Lonchura striata: one gene and its partner. The protein of the gene in region 2 binds, or shares a complex with, the protein of the main gene of each other region. Links are inferred from orthologs where the notes say so. Each region holds a gene or a part of one and is shown on either strand. Other genes may lie near its edges.

Region 1 (9,788 bases), on a different chromosome or scaffold from region 2:
GCTGCCTACACTGATGGGCAGGGCGATTGCTCCATCCTTCATCCTCCTCAAACGAAAATGGAAGCGAGAGCCTCCTGGAGCTCTGGGATGTTTCGGCACGGCAGACATGGAATGATTTCTGGTTCAGGCTCGCGGGATGCGGATTACCCGGTGTTACCATTGGTAACCAGCGGGTCCCGGGTGGCAGCACGGCCGTGAATGACCCCGGGGTGCTGCAGTGAATGACCCCTGGGCTGCAGTGAATGACCCGGGGTGCTGCAGTGAATGACCCGGGGTGCTGCAGTGAATGACCCCTGGGCTGCAGTGAATGACCCGGGGTGCTGCAGTGAATGACCCCGGGGTGCTGCAGTGAATGACCCGGGGTGCTGCAGTGAATGACCCCGGGGTGCTGCAGTGGATGACCCCGGGGTGCTGCAGTGAATAACCCGGGGTGATGCAGTGGATGACCCCGGGGTGCTGCAGTGAATGACCCCGGGGTGATGCAGTGGATGACCCGGGGTGCTGCAGTGAATGACCCGGGGTGCTGCAGTGAATGACCCGGGGTGCTGCAGTGGGTGAGCCCTGGGCTGCAGTGAATGACCCCGGGGTGCTGCAGTGAATGACCCCGGGGTGCTGCAGTGAATGACCCCGGGGTGCTGCAGTGAATGACCCGGGGTGATGCAGTGAATGACCCGGGGTGATGCAGTGAATGACCCCGGGGTGCTGCAGTGAATGACCCCGGGGTGCTGCAGTGAATGACCCCGGGGTGCTGCAGTGAATGACCCCGGGGTGCTGCAGTGAATAACCCGGGGCTCGGCAGTGAATGACCCGGGACTCGGCAGTGGATGAGCCCTGGGCAGCAGCTCCGGGCAGCTCCGGGCAGCTCGGCTGTGCCTGCGGGGAGCGGGGCCCAGCCCTCCCGGGGAGGACGCTGCCTTTCCACGGGGGCCTGCGGAACGCGGCCCGGCCCCTGCCCCTCTGCTGCGGCCCTCCTTCCAGCACAGCGGCCAGAGGCTGCAATTGTGCTCTCCCTCCCCGCGTGGAAGCGTGTCAGGGCTGCTGACAGATGGCTCGGCTGCCCGTGCCTGGTGATTACCGAGCCTCTATTGCCTTTGCAAGGCGAATCCCCACTTGAAGGTATTTGGTAACGAATTTCGCGGTGTTTGCACGTCCCGGGAAGCGCTCTCGGCGCTCGGCTGCTGATCTACGGCGCCAGAGGCGCCGCGTCCTCCGGGCACGGGCACGGCGCTTTCGGCAGTCTGTGCTGCCACCTAGCCAGGCCCGGCCCGCCGAGCTCAGCCCCGCTCGCTCCGCAGCTCCCGGGGAAACGGGGAAATTGTCCCGGTTGATCCCCGGCTCCGAGCACAGCCCCGGCCCAGGCGGGCGCTCCCGCGGCGGCCGCAGCCCGGCGCTCCTTCCCCCGCGCGGATCTACTTACGGTAGAAGACATATTCCGTGTAGCTGGACCAGACCTTGTCGTCTGTGTACTGGTTGACGAAGGAAGCCGTCACCGAGGAGTTACAGGCCACCATGTGGAATCCACACTCGGATAACATGTCAAAAGCCCTCTCCAGGTGCTTGAACTTGAGATAAAACCTGGAGGTGTACCTTTCTGGAGCCCTGTCCGGGTCTCTGCTTTCATTCAAACTTTCTCCAAAAACCTCTTTGACCAAAGAAATCCTTCCACAAACCAAAATCCTCGGGACCCTCCTGAATTTGGCATCTGCTTGGCTCTCCCTGCCGATGGTGCAGGAGCCGCGGTAGCCGATGGTGATGAATCCCCACTTGCGGTCCGGCGGCAGGAGTGACGAGGGGGGGCATATTCTGGTGTCACTGCCCTGGGACACCTCTTCGTAGTCGCTGTGGCAATAATCGTCGGGGCTTTGCTTGCTGTCGTCGGGAGTCAGGAGCTTGACCAAGTCCGGGAGCTGGAAGTACTCAGCCTCCCTCTTGAGCCTCCCCCTCTCTGGGAAGTGGTCGGGCAGAACCACTTGCTTGTCCCTGAGATAGTCCAGAATATAGCGGAAAAGGAAACCATCTCTGTCGATGAAGAATCTCCCCTTGGAGTCCTTGGCCAGATCGTTGGCTGTGTCTCTCTTTGGGGTGAACATTTTCCAGAGCAGGGAGTGAGGGGTGCCAACCAAGGTGGAGTGGCGAGTGAAGTAAACCTGGCCGCCCACGTTGAGCTCCACCACCTCGGGGAAGGAGTGCAGCCCCGTCCCCTGCTCCCGAGCAGGGAGGTAAGTCCTGCAGTTGCCACTTAGAGCCATTGTAGTTTAAACTGGAAACCAGCAGCACGGAGAAGCAGGACAATCAATCACATCGGAGGTTAGAATAAAGCTCCCAACATTAAGAAGGAACAAGGGGGAAACGAGAAGCGAGAAAACAAAAGTAGCCAAAAGGATTGTTAAAAAAAAAAAAAATCTGAATAGTCCATGAGTGACAGTGTGGCAGAAGTGGTTTATACACTGAGCCACGGAGGCTGGAGGCTGGAGAGCAATCACCTCATGACATGCAATCACATCATCAGCTCTTCCAACAAAGCCATCAAAATCAAGGTCAAGCCAAGTCTGTGGTCATTCACAGGTCTGTGAAAAGGGAAAACAAAACAAGGCTCAAATTACTCTTCTAAGCATCACAGCTGCAGCAACAGAGAAAAGCAGAGCAGCTCGTAGAGCCAAGCTAAATCTGTTAAATAGGTCTCTTTTTTTTTGGCAAGTTCTACGCTTCTATTTCACAAGTATTCATCAATGGAAGGGCTACATATGACTCCACCGTTTAAAAGAAACTTCATACTTCATCTTTAAAGAAACATCTAAATTAGACATGCACATGAGGGAACAAGAACGGGGACTCTTACCTTGGTAACAATTCATGCATAGCTCTTGTAAAGAAAACCAAAATGTCAAGACACTCAGAACACACATACAGGCACACAGGGTCCGGGTAGTGTGAATCCGATCCAAGCAAGGGACAGCAAAGGCAACAGAAGTGCTCTTAGCAGCATCCACGGAGGTCTCGAGTGTAAAACCGAGTCACAGGGAAGTTAACTGTGGCGAGTGACGAGGAAAGCAGTACATACAGCACGGCGGAAGAAAATAATTAAAACAAACAACTAAAAGAATAAATAAAATAATTCCCGAGTGGATGCCCCGGGCCGGGGCAGCGGGAGGGCAGCGGGGCGCGTCCGCCGGCCCCGATGACTTGCAGAAAGCCGTCAGCCCGCGCTAGGCACTGCCGGGCTCCGGCGGCTCCCGCGGCGGCAGCGCGGCGGCGGCTCCCCCATGGCCCGGCGGGAGCGGCGGCCGCGCCGGGGCCGCGCTCCGCTCCGCCCGCTGCGCGCTCCGGGCTCGCTCAGCGGCGCGGGGCCGGCGGCGCGGAGCGCGATGCCGATTGCATCATCTTAAAGGAGTCGGGCCGGGATGGGCGCCGCGTCCCGCGCCGGCACCGGGCAGCGCCGGGCGGCACCGGGCAGAGCCGGGCAGCGCCGGCGCCGGGCACAGGCGGGCGGCACCGGGCGGCACCGGGCAGAGCCGGTACCGGGCACAGGCGGGCGGCCCCGGGCGGCACCGGGCAGAGCCGGGCAGCGCCGGCGCCGGGCACAGGCGGGCGGCCCCGGGCGGCACCGGGCAGAGCCGGGCAGCGCCGGTACCGGGCGGCACCGAGCGGCCCCGGGCGGCCCCGGGCAGAGCCGGGCAGCGCCGGCGCCGGGCACAGGCGGGCGCGGCAGGACGCGCACAGCGCCGGGCAGCGCGGCAGCACCGCGGACAGCGGCAGCACCGCGGGCAGCGCCTCGCCGGGCCGGGCCGGGCCGGGCCGGCCGCCGCTCAGCGCCCGAGCTGCGCCGCAGTCCCTCCCGCTCCGTCCCTCGGCCGGCAGCGCCCGTCCCCTGCCCGCCCGCAACGTGCCTGTCCCGGCTCCGCGGCGTCCCCGCCGGCGATGCGGGCGGGCAGCGCTGCCCGGGGACTCCCGGCCGCGGCTGCCGGGCAGCACCGGGACGCGCTCCCGCCGCCGCCGCTCCTCATCTCCCCGGAGCCGGCAGGGAGGGGACCCGCGGGGCGCGGGAGGGAGGAGGAGGGACCGGGGGCGGCTCCGGCGGTGCGGAGGACCCGCTTTTACTCGTGGGTCTCTAACGGGGAGAGCCGCGGGCGCGCCGGCACCGCCACCTCGTGTCCGTCCCCGCCGCCCGGCCCAAAGCCAGAGGAGGAGCTGCGGGAGCGGCTCCCGAGCACCCCGCACTGCCGGGCATCCGGGGAACGGGGCAGCACAGCCCCGTGCCAGCTCCCACCGCTTCTGGGCAAAAACACTCTTCTCGGAATGGTACCATAGGAGAAAAGAAAGCCTTTCCCTAGGAAAGCTTTAGAGTGAAGTCTGTGTCTGATGGAGTCACCATGCAGGGGTAGATTTTGCTGACTGCACTTAAGTTCACAGATTCACGGAATATTCTGAGTTGGAAGGGTCAAGGATCATGGAGCCCAGCTCTTAAGTAAATCCACACGGGAATTGAATCCACAACCTTGCTGTATTAGCACCAGCTGAGGCTGCAGATACTTCAGTGAGAGTCTTCTGAAAACATGGCTGTAATTTAAAACGAAATAGCCAAAAAGAATAATTTTCAAGGCTAAGACAGAAAATCACTACTTATGTGCCTACAGACTTTTCAAATTAAGTCTGAGAACTGAACAGTTAATCAAACCCTTGATTTTTACCTTAATTCATTCATTCTGAAGCAACTGCTGCACTCCTGAGCAGAGCCTGTCTCTCACCTCAGGATCCTTATTTTCAAACCAGCAGAATCTGGTGCCACTACAGGGTGTGCTGGTTGTGCCTCAGAAAAGCCCAAGCCCTGTGTCCTGCCCTTGTGCCTCAGCAGAGCAGCTGAAGCAGCGCAGGTCAAGTGCTCCATAACCCCTGCACAGAGGATTTAAAGGTGGCATGTGAGATCATGTTCACTTAAATGTCTTCATTACCTTTTTAAGAGCCTGGCGCAGTCGGTGCAGACAGGATTTAACACCTGCATGACCAGCCAGAGGGAATGACAGATGCCTCTGGCAGTGACAGTGCTGTCCCAGTTAAAAGCAGGGAGAATTGCATCAGCTTTCGCAAATATTTCAGTTGTCCATGCTAGTTCATACGCAGTTTCAATCTAATTAAAATCTATTTTCATAAAGGCAGGGCTTGGAGAATGCATTCCCTGTCCCCAGTAAGAGCTGGCGGTGTCCAAACCAGCACGGAAGCGTTTGTGATGTCCCTGTGACAGCACCAAAGGCTGAGGCTGGGGTGGAGCTGAGCCCGGCGCTGCTGGGCACCACTCGAGTGGGATGTGCAGGTGCTCGGTGAGAGGGGACAGGAGTCACCCACACCTGGGGCTCCTGGCAAGCTCTAATGAGCATCAGGCACGGACTCCCTGTGATTAGCCAGTACAGACAGCTCTAAGCTCGAAGTCTTTTTGAAACATTATCATCAGAATTGCTCTTTGAAAATAACAAAAACCATAGAATTTTAATCACAACAGCTTTAGAAATGCAACTGCACTTTTCAAATAGCAATGAAAGCAATTCAGCACCTGCTTTTATTTCTTCACACGGGGACATTCCAATCATTTCACTGTAACACAATTTCCTTTGATGAGATGACTTCAGGAGTAAAAGCATCACGTAATGCTCCCCAGCTAAATACAAGCCATGGACCAAATGCATCAAAATGCAGCCTGAGAGAGTGAAACTTTAAAATCTGGGCTAAATACATGATGACCTAAATGTAAAATATGTGTCAGGACCACACCGAGGAGCAGCTACAGTTCTGATGGAAGAGGAAAGCAGTATCCATCAAAGGGAGGATGAAGCACTTCTCACTTCTGACACATGCCTTCATAACTCCCAGCACAGGCAAGGGAAAATTTAGCCTGAGCTTAAAGTGTATGCTCCAAAAGTCCCAGCATAGCTGTGCTGGAAGCCAGTCCATGAAGGCAGTGACATCATTCACAGGTTTGAGGTCATTCCTTATGACAAAGTGCTAAATTGGCATTTCAGGAAATCATGGAACAAGTGACTTTATGGAATGTGGTGGGTGTTAGAAATAGGTGTCGGAAAAGCAGCAGCAATGAGTGCTAGAAAGGAAGGGCAGCGGTACCTGGGCTGGAGTAGCAGTGTGTGTGTGTTTGTGTGCATCACCTCCCATCTCCAGAGGAAACACACAGGCTGGAAATTCCAATCAAGTCGCCCACACGTAGTGAGAAACATGGAAGCTGTTTATCAGCAACAACACAAGAGCTTTGGGGTGACTGGAGAAGGAGCAATTGAAAGAAGAAGAAGCTGAAGTAGTAATTCTGAGGAAAAAATACATCCAAGCTGGATTTTGGACAGAAGATTCTACCTAAAAAGCCACATGAGAACTTTCATCACTCTGTGTGATCTTTACACACAATAGTTAAAATAAAAAAGGAAGAAAGAAGAACAGCACTTCCAGTTCCAGACTGGCACTTTGATTCAGGAACGACTTCAAGGTGCCACCTAAGGATGGATGAACCGTCCTTCAGCCCTGTTCCCTGTAACATTCTGTGCTTCTCAGCAGGCTGTGTCTGAGCCCTGAGCCCAGCAGCGTTTCCCAGGGCAGAACTCCATCAAGGCAGCGGCAAGAGGGCAGTTTCTGAGAATGGTGCCATGGCAGAGCAATAAGTGTCTGCACTGGGCCTGTCAGAGGGCCAGCGGTTTCCCCGAGAGGCAGAAAGGGTGTCCTGCACTGGAGCTCCCTGACAGGACTGCCAGCCCAGCCTCGGGCCACACAGAGAACAGAGCCTGGAGGAACCCATCCCAGACTCCTGCGAGTTCCAGCCCTCTAACCCAGGCTCCTCTCCAGCAGGGCAGGATCCTCCCCATCACCCAGAGACTGAGCTCCCTGCAAGGAGAGCCAGGCAAGAACAAGCTAAATCAGAGATTAGCCCCTGATCCAGCAGTGTGAATTACACACAGTGAAATTCTCATCTGCTCAAATCCAGCGGTACGTGCGAATGGGAAGCCCTAACAAATCTTTCACTTTGAAGAAAAAGCATAAAGCAGCACTAAATGGCTGAGTGTCCCTGAGAAAGGATCTTCCAGCAAAGAGCGTGAGTGCCATGAAGGCGGGTTTATTCACAGAGCAAAGCATTACACAGATTTGCCCTTGATCTTTTATTCATAACTCAAGTGCATAATGTATTTTCATCCCAAACAAGCAAAGGGGAAGAGCAGCTTTCCCAGCTGCTCAGGCTGTGAGACAGGCTGGGAGCAAGGCTCAGATGGAGACACGACATGGCTTTTTGTCATCGTGTACCACACAGAGAGGGGTCACAGCTCCTGCTCAGAATCCCTCTGCTCCTTCTGGGGAGCACCAGACCCCCAGCACACGCACAGCACAAGGTCTGAGCCTTCCAAAAGCTGACAGTGCGAGGGAATCATGTTCCAGTGATCTCCAAATCCATCACTGCACATCAGGGAACATTCTGGAGAATAATTGATATATGTGTGCTGACAACTCCTTTGGAATGCCATGGCCACTGTTCAACAAAGCAATCTGCTACACAAACAGCCCTGACCCTGCAAGAGAGCCAGCATGTGCAGGCAGGCAGAGACCTCACGGACACATTGGCAACCAAGGACTAAAATCAATCAAAAATCACAGTTTTCAGCCTCCCCTCTGCAAGGCCCTTTCGAGTTCTGCCATAAGAAGGCCTGTTTCAGCAGACATCTTCCTCCTCCCCCTTTCCCCATCCTCCCCATCCTCCACAGTTCTTTGAATAATACTTTTATTCTCAGTCTGATTCAAATTATTCTGTTATCAACACTGGTGTAATTAAAGTGTGTTTTTAAACATTACAGCTAAAACAAACTTTGGTAGCACTATCATGATACCAGCACTGTGTAACCCATGTACTACACGAGTACTTTAATGTGTGCTTTTACTCTTCCCAGGTTGCAGCCATTTCAAGGTCTCTTGCAAATTCAAATTCCCTGTCCAGGTGGTGTTCTAGGCCAGGTGGGGCCTGGAGCAATCTGGGCTGTGGATGGGATGAGTTTTAAGGTCCTTTCCACCCCAAAGTAGAGTGGGATTCTGGCACTGTGTGGTAGCCCCCAGTGCAGCTGGAGCTGGTGCCCAGCAAAGGGACGGTGCTGGTGTTTGGTGTTTGGTGTTTGAAGTTTGGTGTTTGGTGTTTGGTGTTTGGTGTTTGGTGCTTGGTGCTTGGTGTTTGGTGTTTGGTGTTTGGTGTTTGGTGTTTGGTGCTTGGTGCTTGGTGTTTGGTGTTTGGTGTTTGGTGTTTGGTGCTTGGTGCTTGGTGTTTGGTGTTTGATGTTTGGTGTTTGGTGCTTGGTGTTTGGTGCCTCCAGGCTGCAGCTCCAGGCTGTCCATGCACTGCCCTTCCCAAGGCATTGGGAAGGAGCAGCTGTGCAGCTGCAGTGCCCGCGCACCCCTAGAGCCCCCGGGCTGTGCAGAGCAGCCTGTCCCGCAGGGCTGGCAGCCCATCCTGAGTGCCGACAGCAGTGCTGAGATGCCCGCTGCAGGGACAGCTCCTCAGCGAAAGCTCCACCTAAGCCGCCAGGAAATCCTACCAGTCTAAGCAAAGCCAGAGAGATTCCTCGGCCAAGAGCGTTTCCCCGGCAGGTCCCAATTACACAGGCCAGTGCCTGGGCTGGGTCTCATTTCCCTGCCCAGTGAGCCGCAGCGAGTCGCACAGCTCAGCCCGGGGCACTAAGCCGCAGCCATCAGAGGCCCCCGCACATCGTGCAGGTCTTGCATGAACGCTGGCACCCCCTCAGCCTCCAAACACTAACTCTCCTGCAGCGCAAATCTGCAGGAAGCAGCTCACGGCACAGTTACTGATCTGTTTTCCATGGCTGGAACTCTCCATTCAGCTCTACAGTGACACATTTCCAGAGCCTGCTCTCGGCAGTGCCACGGACTCCGCACCATCAGCTCTGCTTTGCAGCGAGGCTTGGAACAGGGCTGCAATTTAAATGCAGTCATTTCACCAGCACAATATTGCACATGCAGGTTTGTAACAATATTACTGTAACTGCATCCTGAGCCAAAATGAATTCAAAAAACCAAAGTGTGAAAAATGCATATTATATGGCTCTATGCAGATAGCTACTATTTGTATTATGTTATATTGATCAGTTATGCTTTTGTAGTTAAAATGAGGTTTTAGTAGTTAAAATAGAGACTGTGTATGTGGGGGGAGGTTTTTTTTTAGGAATGAGATACTTGCTTCGAGGAATACCTGAATCTTCCAGAAAGGAGGAATTTATGGCTTTCTTATCAGAAGAAGCTAATTCCTTCAGGCCTTGCTCAGACTCGAAGACACCATGGGGATTAATGGAAATAGTTGACATACAAAAGACAGAGTTTTTGTTTTAAATAGAATGTATGCATAACCATGAAGGATATATGAATATGCAACAAGTGTATTGTTTTAAGGGTGATTCTCTTGTTCACAAGGGATGCTTTTTGTGACTTAGTGTCCGAGAGCATCCGGACATCCAAAACTCTTTGCGTTTTATTGTCTTGTAATTGTCCTAACTCTAAATTTTATTACTCTAATTGTATTACTGTTTTTATAACCATTTTATTATTATTATTAAACTTTTAAAATTTTTAAAAACCAAGCGATTGGCGTTTTTCACAAAAGGAAAAACACACACATACTTAAACCAGGAGCATGGCCTGTGTAATCTCGTGTGCCCCCACGGCTGGGGCTCGGCTCCAGGAGGCTGCCAGAGCTCGGAGTGCATCGTGCACGGGATGGAAACTGGTTCTGGTGTAGTTGTGAACCT
Region 2 (9,477 bases):
GCTGCTCATGTCCTCAAAGGTTAACGAGTTCAAGTGCTGACAAACAACAGTTCACCTTAGAAGGCACGCTGCAGTTCTTCATATGTTATGGTCAGAAAGTAAAGACATTATGATGCTTCCTTATACAAACCAGAACTATCAAGCCAGATAGAATATTCAGTTCAATCCTGACAGAATGAACCTGAACTCATAATAAAAAACAAAAAAAACCAATCTAGTTTATTTTCATTATTGTTTTTCACAAGCACTTAAAGTATTACAAAAAATTACAATACAAGGATCAGACTGCAACAAAGACGGATTTTGGAGACACAAGGGAGAATACCTGAATTAGTAAATCACTGCCATGCATTTCCTAAGCATTATAAATATACTACAATTATTTCTCAAGCTATTAAAAAATCCTATGTGTTCAAGGCTCTACATTCTCTCTTTCAAGAGCCAACAATGTCACAAGCACCACCTGTGAAGCCCTGAGAGGGAGAACTACTCCCTGGTCTCTGATTATGCAATGATAAGGATCCAGGCCCTTCAGGCATAGCTATTTATTGGCAGTCTCAGAAAATAGGCTGAGAATCAAGTGGGCATGATGAGCCAGCTACCCTCCTGCTTATCGTAAGTGCACTGAAGGAAAAGGGTAATGTCTGAACCGACTGAAAAAGTTTGTGCTGCCATTAGGTATTTAATGGCTATTCCAGGCATTCGTCCATTCTGTTGGGTGCAGTCAATCTAGCACTCTTTATGGACACTAACTTATTTACTTGTCACTATTAAGCATGCAATAATGACCCAACTGTACTCTAAACATGTACGGTCACCTGAATTAGCATTCCATAACCATGCATTTATTAATTTCTTAAAAGCATTTAAAGCAACACAGCAAGGTAGCAACATGACCCTGATTTCTTATGTCCCTGGAGTACTAACAGTAAAATTTTAAAGAAACTGATACTCATTCCAGAACAAATAGGGTAATTTTTTTCCTGAATATTTTTATGATAACTACCTAGTTCAGAACCCAAAATCTCTATGAAGAGTGCCACAATATTTTGACTGCAATAAAGTGCAGCACCTTCTTTATTAAGATATTACTGTAAGAAGAAGGGACATCCTGCCTAGGCTTCTCTAATTCCTATGCCTATTTTTTTAATAATTCTATCCACAGGAAAAACTAATATAGATTAACGTAATGAAAACAGGATTAGGAAACCTGTGAATTTTTTCCTGACATGCATCTCACTTTATGAGACAGGTAATGCCATTCAGAAAATCCCCCATAATTCTTTTCATTACAATTGCAGAGTTCCCTGAGATTCATCTTTTTAAAGAAACAAGCAGCTACTCTAGGTTGATCTTGCCTGTATTCCCTGTCAGTATCTAGTCTTGTTCACACAACACAACAGGATGGCAGCCTGCTCCTTCCTAAGTGACATCTTCAGCAGTATTGCCCTCCATGCATTTCTGCTCAGTGGTTGGTGTTTTTTTTTGTTTTTTGTTTTTTGTTTTTTTTAACACTATGACAAATTTATGTCAATAAAAAGCAGCCACCCTGGAAGGAGAGGCCTTTGGTAGTCATTTTAGGGACGGAAACACTGTCACGATACAGTACAGCCTGTCATTGCTGCTCTCAGTTTGTTCCCCCCGGACCTGAGAAACCTAAAGGGAGCACAGGGGCTTCCTTAAATTACAGCCGGCAAGATTTTCAGCAGTCACTTGCTTTACCGGGGGTTGTCTTGGAAGCGAACCCCGACCGCCAGCATTACACAAGAAGTGACTGCCATCTTCAGGGGAGCCCCGGTACCGGACCCGCGCCTATCCTCCGCAAACACACAGGTACTGAAGTTGTGACAAAAACCAAAGGCAGCTGCGGGCGGGCGGTAGTGGCAACCAGCTCCACAAAGCCCTCGCCCCGCTCCCTGCCTCTCGCTCCCAGGTAAAGGGAGCGTGTTTCCTCGCTCAGCAGGGCTCCCCGCTCTCCCAGCGCTGACGGCCGGCCGCTGGCAGCGCTCCGGAACGGGGGCAGGCATCCCGCCGCACTGGCAGCGCTCCGCAGGAACCGGCACTGCAAATTTAGTTCTTCCCGAGAAGCGAGCGCCTCCGCGCCCCGCCGCCCGCCTGCCACGCACCCCCGGACGAGCGCTCAGCCGCTCCCGCCGGAGGGCAGGGACGGGGGGAATCTCGGCGAACCCCTGCGAAGCCTCCCCTCCTCCTCCTCAAGCTACGGCTGCGACCGCTGCCCTCCGCGTCCCGTCGCCGCATGGGATAAGCCGGGCTGGCGGCGTGAGCCCGTTGGCGGAGCGGGGGAGCGGAGCGCCCGGTGTGCATCTGTTGCTGAGCGGGTGGCGGCTGGCACAGGGATGCGGCCGCGGCTTCGCTGGGCGAGGCAGCTTTCCTCCCACCGGTGTACGTGCGTGCCAAGGGCAGCGGATCCCAGCCACCGCCACCGACAAGAGCCCCCGCCGCCCGGGCACCCGTCCGGGCCCACCCCCGCGCTGCAGGCGACTCCCGGACAGGGGCGCTTCTGGGGCGGTGGGGCGAGCCCCAGCTGCCGGGGCAGCCGCTCCTGGTAATACCGGGCGGGCAGGATTCGGCCCGCCGGCTCCACGTCCTCCCCCTCCGCCGCCGGTCCCTGCACATCTGCCGGCAGCCCGCGGGGCCGGGCGGGCAAGGCGGCTCGGAGGCGGCGCGCACGGCCCCGCCGGCAGCCGCAGCCCCGGCCCGGGCGTCCGCGCTGCCCTTGCGCCCCTGCACCCGCAGCGCCCCGGGACTGGGCGGCGGCGCCTCCCCCTGCGCCCGGCGGCGCGGGGCCCGCGGCGGTCCCTACCTCCGTGTCGTAGACCCGCAGGTCCAGGGAATAGGGGTTGAGCAGGGATTCGTTGCGGATCTGATCCATGGCCAGATACACGGCGGGTAGCACTCCCTGGGTGATCCTGCTCTCCTCCTCGGACTGGTTGACCGGCATCAAGCCCATGATGGAGATCGGCGTGGTGGCGTTGGGGGGCAGCCCGGCCGTCCCCCGGGAGCTGCCCCGCGACCAGCCCCAGCCCGGCGGCGCCCAGCCCAGGCACAGGAGCAGCAGTAGCATGGCAGGGTTGGAGGTGGCAGCGGCCGGTCTCCGCGGAGAGGGATGCATGCTGCTGGATGGGGAGGAGGAGGAGGAGGACTGAGGGTGGGGGAACGGGCTGAGCGGCGGAAGAGAGCCGAGCCCCTCTCAGTCTGGGCGCATCCCCCGGCGGCAGAAGCCAAGGCGGGAGGGAAAGATCTGCCTGTCTCCTCTTCCTCGGGAGCCTCGGGGTCTCCTCTCTCTTCCCCCCCCCCCCTCCCCTCCCCTGGCAATAATCCTTCTGGCAATGGCGCCTACTCCTTCCCAGGTCTGCCAGCTGCAACCACCAGGAGCAATAAATAAATAAATAACCACCACCACGCACACACAGACACTCTCCTCACCACCCTCCTCCGCTCTCCCCGGCGGCACAGCAAGGGAGCGGGACCTGCCTCTGCCTCCTCGGCAGCTCTCCACCCTCTCCGCTCAGGGAGGGACAGCACCTCTCAGGCGCGGGGGGGGTAGCCGAGCAGCCCTCATTGAACACTTCCTTCCTTCCCCCTCCTCCTCCTCCTCCTCCAAAAGGGTGAAAAGGGAAAAAAGGGATGCTCCGGCAGAAAACGCCGAAGAGGAAAAAGCCCCCCCTCTAGAGCCGGGGAGGCGGAGAAGGGGAGCGGTGCCGAGCCGGGCGGGGGTGCTAATGCCGCATTCCGCGGGAGCCGGGGCAGCCCCCGCCGCGGGAGCGAGGTGCCGCCTGCGCCCTTCCTGCGGGTCGGGCAAAGCCGCCGGGCAGGATGCGCGGCCGCGGGCAGCGCAAAGTGTGCGGCGGCGGCGGGGGCCGGACCGCGCTCCCTCTTCACGGCATCAGCGTTCGCTGCCTGTGGGTCGGGCACCTTCTCCAGGTGGAGCTGCCAAGGCGGGCGCGGGTGGGCGCGGGGAGGTGCGAGCTGCGGCCGCTGCCCATCGGCGCTGTCCCCACGCGCGACCCGCCCGGCACACGCACGGAGCCCGCTGGCAGGGCGGCCCGGCGCGGGCGGGCTCCGCGCACTCTCCCCGCCCTCCCCCGCGCACACGCGGCACGCAAACACGCTCCCACTCGGGCTCGGCACCCCGCACACGCACACGCGCAGCCAGCCCGGGCCACGGCAGCTCTGCGGCACGCAGGAGCGGGGCGTTTCGCTAGAGCAGAAGTCGTGGGGTTTTGGTGGGTTTTTTTGGTGGTTTTTTTTGGGCTTTTTTTTTTTTTAAACCGGTTTCTTTTCCCCTCAGAACTGGCGGGTTTTTGGAGACCCTGACACTGCTCAAATTACAAAAAACAAAAACAAATAAAAAAAAATAAGGTTGCGGCAGGACTCTGAGCCTCCCCGAGGGCTGTCGCAACCCTGTGAATAGTCTGTGGGAAGCGAGCCCTTTCCACACATGTTCTCCCAAGTAATTGTCACCACATCACAGTGGCTGTGGGGCATAGCCCATAGACAGCCCATGGCTTTTTGCGTTGCTCCCAGGCTATCCTCCCATCCCAGGGAACACGTTCACACTGCCCACCCACGTCCGTGGTCTGCAGAGTCCCAGAGCAGCAATTCACAGATCTGTTTCATCTCAGGTAGATCCCATACCTGTATGGGTACAGGCAAAATGAAAAACTTTTCTTAACCCTGCCTTAGGCACCTCACTTTTTATACATATTCATAAATTTCCTGAGGTCACTCCAAGCAAGCCTTTGAAGATCAACCTAATACATCTAGTTTATGTTACACTGCAATGGCAGCATGTCTGCAATAAATTGGAAAGAATTTTCATGGATTAATATATTCTAAGATTGTAAGATTTGACCTTGGGCCAAAAGCCCTCAACCAGTAATTTCATAACATTTGTTGCGTTACAGCCTTTCACGCAGAATGACATCCAGCAGTGTTGACTTTAAGATATCAGTAATGAAGAGTCCATCACTTCTCTTGATAAATCATTTCAATTATTAATTAGTTTGCTAAAAGGTGTATTTCATATTCCGTATCAATTTGTCTTATTCCAACTTCCAGCCACCAGTTCTCATCATACCTTTATTGGCTTAAGGGAATGTAGTGTCAGGGATCTTCTCCCACCCACAGGGGCTAAGATTAATCACATCTTGCTTTTGTAAAAAACAAGGCCAACTTTCCCTCACCTCAAGAATCATTCCTGGAGGCACTTCCAATGCACCTCTCCTTTTTCCACATGATGTTGAACTGGCCCTTCTAACCCTGTGACCTGCCTGCACTGGGCCAGAAGCTGCAACCTCAGCACCTCCCTCAGTACCAGCCGGTTCCATAGGCTGGGCAGGTTGGCAGATTGAGAAACCTAATCCCTACAGGAAGACCAGGTAGTGTGTTGTCCTTGTAGGAATGTCTCTTTATGAAATCATCTGCACCATGTTTTTGATGCCTCAGATTTTAGCTTTTGTATTTTCCAGATTTTGTACTGCTTTAGTGTGTAGTTCTGAGCTTCATATTGGGGAATAGTAAGCTCTCCTCAGAGTAGGTAAAAAAAAATAATCCTTTTCTCTCTGGGGACCAAGGACAAATGATCCAAATTTCAGTCCCAAAAGCATAAACAACAGTGGACTGAAGAGAGAAAAACAAGAAGGATATGACTTCGTAATCTAAAGCCGTAATTGGACAATAAACTCCAATAAGATAATGGATCCGAATTTATAAAAGTGAGAGACATCCATTGTGTGATCATTTTGGTTCATCTTGGGTGTAGCCCTGGCTGGGCTCTTGTACTGCCCAAGGTGTATCTATTGAGACCTTCTAATAAATACCTACTTTATTATTTAACTCTCTCTAGTCTCTGTTCCAGGTCAGCCTTCAAAGACATCAGTTTCTGGTGACCCAGGTGGGACAGAAGGCATCTGGAAAACCCCCTGGACCAGAGCCAGACGAACATCCAGCTCTTGCCCCCTCTGCCCCCAATTCCTGCTGGCACTGCCTAAAAGCATCACCTACCTCCTTACTCCTGTGCATTTGGTTTTGCACTAGAATAAATCAAACCATGACCTTTACTTGTACAAGTGATTTGGCCAGCAGTTTGTCACCTGCAAACTTTCCAGCAACTCATTTTCTTCCAGAAAATTGATTATCATAACACCAAGAACATTCCTAGGATGCCAACAGAAATAGGTGCCATATTGATTTTGTGTAATGCTATTTTTAACCAGAATATCATATGCGAAATGATGTTTTGCCATTCTCAACTTGCTATGCAAGTTTGTCAAAATTAGTTTCACAGAAAATCTTTCTTCACTGCTTGTATACTGTATCATTCTGTGATTTTCACCAGTACTTGGCTACCAGTACTACAGCTACTTGGATCAATTTGATCATTTTACAATATTGGCAGTTTATTAGCACACACACTCACATTGTCTCTGGACTGTCATCATCTTTCCAAGAGCTGGGGTTGTTTTGGAAGCAATTTCTCTTTTTGAGAACTCAGTCTTTATGAAAGAAAGCTTGAGGCCAGGTTGTGTGTTACAACAGAATTAGTACCTTGGACATTATTAGCAACCACCTGACATCCTTCTTTACTACTGCTGCAGTAGCAAATGTCCTTTTGTTAGCTGAAGATTGAAATGCATCTCCTTGCTTTTCCCAGTACAGGTCAGAAACTTCACTGAGTGTGAAGTTCAAGGTTTGCCCTCATGTGGGAGGCAGAGACCAGCTGACACTGGTGTCCCTGCAGTGCACAGGGAAGGCCAGTGCTGGAGAGGTAGGGCAAAGAAATGCATCTAGGAGAGGTCTGCAGAGGTCTGGAGTATGGCTGGATATCGTTTAAACCAAGCAAAGCTGCACTTCAAATTACAGTATTTAACAAAGTGGTTCTTCTGACTTTAATCTGTTTGTTGCTGCATTCCCTGTCAGTAAAACAGGATGCTCTTCGTTAATGGTAAAAAAAAGATAAAACAAAACAAAAACAAACAAACAAAAAAAACCCTCACACTAAGAAAATAACTTTTATTTTTCAGTTTAGGGATTGGTTATGGGAATGCAAATAAGACTATATTGAACAATGAGGATTAGTTAAAGTAAGCCTCTCAAAATTCTTCCTGTGTATCAGTGAGGCATGAAAATGACAGTTTCTCCACCTTTTGTAAAAAGCATCAAAACCCCCCAACAAAAACAAACAAAAACAAACAAAAAACCCCAAGCACCTCCCATTCCCCCCACAAAAACAGTGGATGTATTGTAAGAAAATAATGTAATTAAAAATCATAGTGTAATAGACACACTGAAGCCAACTTCTGATTTCACAAAAACCTTTATTTCTGGCACCTAAGTAATTTGCAAGGAAGTTTCACATTCTTCACATATGTTTTCAGCATGATTCTCTGCTACAGTTATATTTTGTAAAGCCTGCTTCTTTCCAATTCTCAGCACTGAGAAATTTCTTCTTTCTTAGGTACTATGCTGCATTTATGAATAACAGATGCCCAGGTAACAGCTCATTTTAAATAAAAGTAGGCCTAAAGGAGAATTGCTCCAAAATGCTTATTAAATATTGTGTCAGACACAGGCACTGGCTCAGCTGCCTTTTTTTTCCCTCTTAGAAATACCCAGAACGTTTTGCTACCATCGAACTGGTAAAATAAATTCCCTAGGATGAAATCCTCTGAAGCAGCACACATTCTTTATCTGTTAGGCAAAAAGGCATTATATTCTCATTTGGTGGTCCACATCAGACACCCTCTGTTTATTCCTTGTTGATTAAAATATCAGTTCACAAGAACTGTAAAACCTCTTCACTCGAAAATCAAATGTCACTTTCTTCCTGGCATGTTACCCAGCCATTTCTGTGCTTCAATCATGTGAATCCTTCAACCATATTTCTGTAAAAACACTGTCAAATATCTTTCCGCTAATGAACACTTCCAATTTCTCAGTTACTTCTAAGTCTTCTCACAGCCTATGCACAATTAACAATTTTTTCTTTATATATTTATATTTGCTCATCAGAGTACCTAATTAACTTCACATTTAAGCATCTGTACTAGTATGACTCCCTTGACCACTTCTTCAGTTGCAAGTATCTTCAGACCATGGATAAAGTCAAGAAACTCAGAGAACTGATTTTCCATTAACACTAATAAATAAATTGCATCTGTTGCAAGTCCTCTCCTACTCTGGGAGATGGTTTGATGCTACACAAAATATGTCATGCAGCCCCTTAGGCCAGCAACTCACTTCCTGTATGTATTTTCCTGTATATTCATCTTAATACTTTTGGAGAGATCACTGAGAAAGTCCTGCCCTGTTTTTGTCTCCAGCCACCTTTGCAAATCCTGGAGCCATGCAATTCCTGTCAGTGCTGACAGGGACTGGTCTAATTAGGCTTTGTCTGTTCATAAAAATATCAGTGAATTGTGGAATTTAAAAAAATGAAAACTGTTAATCTAGGCATATTAATTTTAGCACTGCATGTACAGGCATAATGTTTTTCCTCTGTAAATGAGAAATGTAACAATACTGCAGTGCTCTTGCACCTCAGCAGAACAGGGGGAGCTTTCCCATCCACCTTTTCCCTCCCTCCCAAGGGCTTTCCCACCTACCTCAGCTAACTTCCTAGCCCAAAGTTCCATATTTGTTACAAGAGCATACAGCATTCTCAAACACCACCAAAAACCCTCCACAGCTGCAAGAGTATACACACAACTGCATGATCCTTACCCTACAGCCTCTCCAGACACCTTGATTGCTGTCTTTATATCAGGGTGTCAGGACACAGCTCAGCTTACTTAATCTCCAAATCTAAGGGCCTTAAGAGAGGCAAATGAAGTTAAAAGAGCATCAGATTTTAAATTACCAACCAAGCACTATCACTGTGTAAGTGCCGATGTTTTTATAAATAGGAAATAGGAGCACAATCTCATCAGTCCTGGTGTTATCATCCAACATGAATTTCCCCTTGCAGTGTATCTTACCACTTCCTATAAATATATCAAAAATTGAACACAGTTTTGAGTCTCTGTTTTCAACAGAGCCAGCAAGAAATACTATTTCCAATTTATGTTGACTGATGCATGTACAATGATGATTGTTGTTCCCAGGTATTTGTGCAAGCTCTAGTAATTCCCCAACATAATGGTTCAGACAAGGCCACACATACAGAGGTTTTAGTGGTTAATTTCTTAGAAGGAAGGTTCATGTACTGTCTTTTGTTGAAGTGAAAATCCAGTAAGTTTTAGCCCATGTTGAAGACTCATAATTTTTAAATGAAAGGAAATTAGTGAGTGAATAAATGAAAAAAAAATCTAAATCATTACCCAATAATTTCAAATAAATATGATAATTAGGTACCTGTCTATAGTCTGGATGGCTTTCTAAGAAAAGAAAAAAAAAACAAAAAAAAACATAAATACAGGCATAGAAGGACTAAGAAACAAGCATTAATTTGTGACT

Evidence for each region.
Region 1: the proteins of GABBR2 (region 2) and KCTD16 are in contact, whole or in part, in a crystal structure (PDB 6M8R), measured with the Homo sapiens proteins. The link is inferred for Lonchura striata from reciprocal best matches to the Homo sapiens genes GABBR2 and KCTD16. Residues at the interface, in NP_005449.5 of Homo sapiens: Ile882, Asn883, Ile888, Gln889, Arg891, Leu892, Ser893, Leu894, Gln895, Leu896, Pro897, Ile898, Leu899; in NP_001357415.1 of Homo sapiens: Asn30, Gly32, Gly33, Gln34, Val35, Tyr36, Asp64, Leu65, Ala66, Lys67, Asp68, Ser69, Arg72, Phe74, Gly79, Phe80, Arg83.

The regions. Positions count from the first base shown.
Region 1 is NC_134617.1:727,721-737,508, forward strand, and holds the start of KCTD16 (BTB/POZ domain-containing protein KCTD16), read right to left. Parts: upstream 3,995-9,788; 5' UTR 3,888-3,994; intron 3,250-3,887; exon of another isoform or gene 2,840-3,249; intron 2,568-2,839; 5' UTR 2,250-2,567; coding exon 1,418-2,249; intron 1-1,417. UniProt on the Homo sapiens protein: Auxiliary subunit of GABA-B receptors that determine the pharmacology and kinetics of the receptor response. Increases agonist potency and markedly alter the G-protein signaling of the receptors by accelerating onset and promoting desensitization.
Region 2 is NC_134603.1:62,278,492-62,287,968, forward strand, and holds the start of GABBR2 (gamma-aminobutyric acid type B receptor subunit 2), read right to left. Parts: upstream 4,031-9,477; 5' UTR 4,008-4,030; coding exon 3,937-4,007; intron 3,135-3,936; coding exon 2,825-3,134; intron 1-2,824. UniProt on the Homo sapiens protein: Component of a heterodimeric G-protein coupled receptor for GABA, formed by GABBR1 and GABBR2. Within the heterodimeric GABA receptor, only GABBR1 seems to bind agonists, while GABBR2 mediates coupling to G proteins.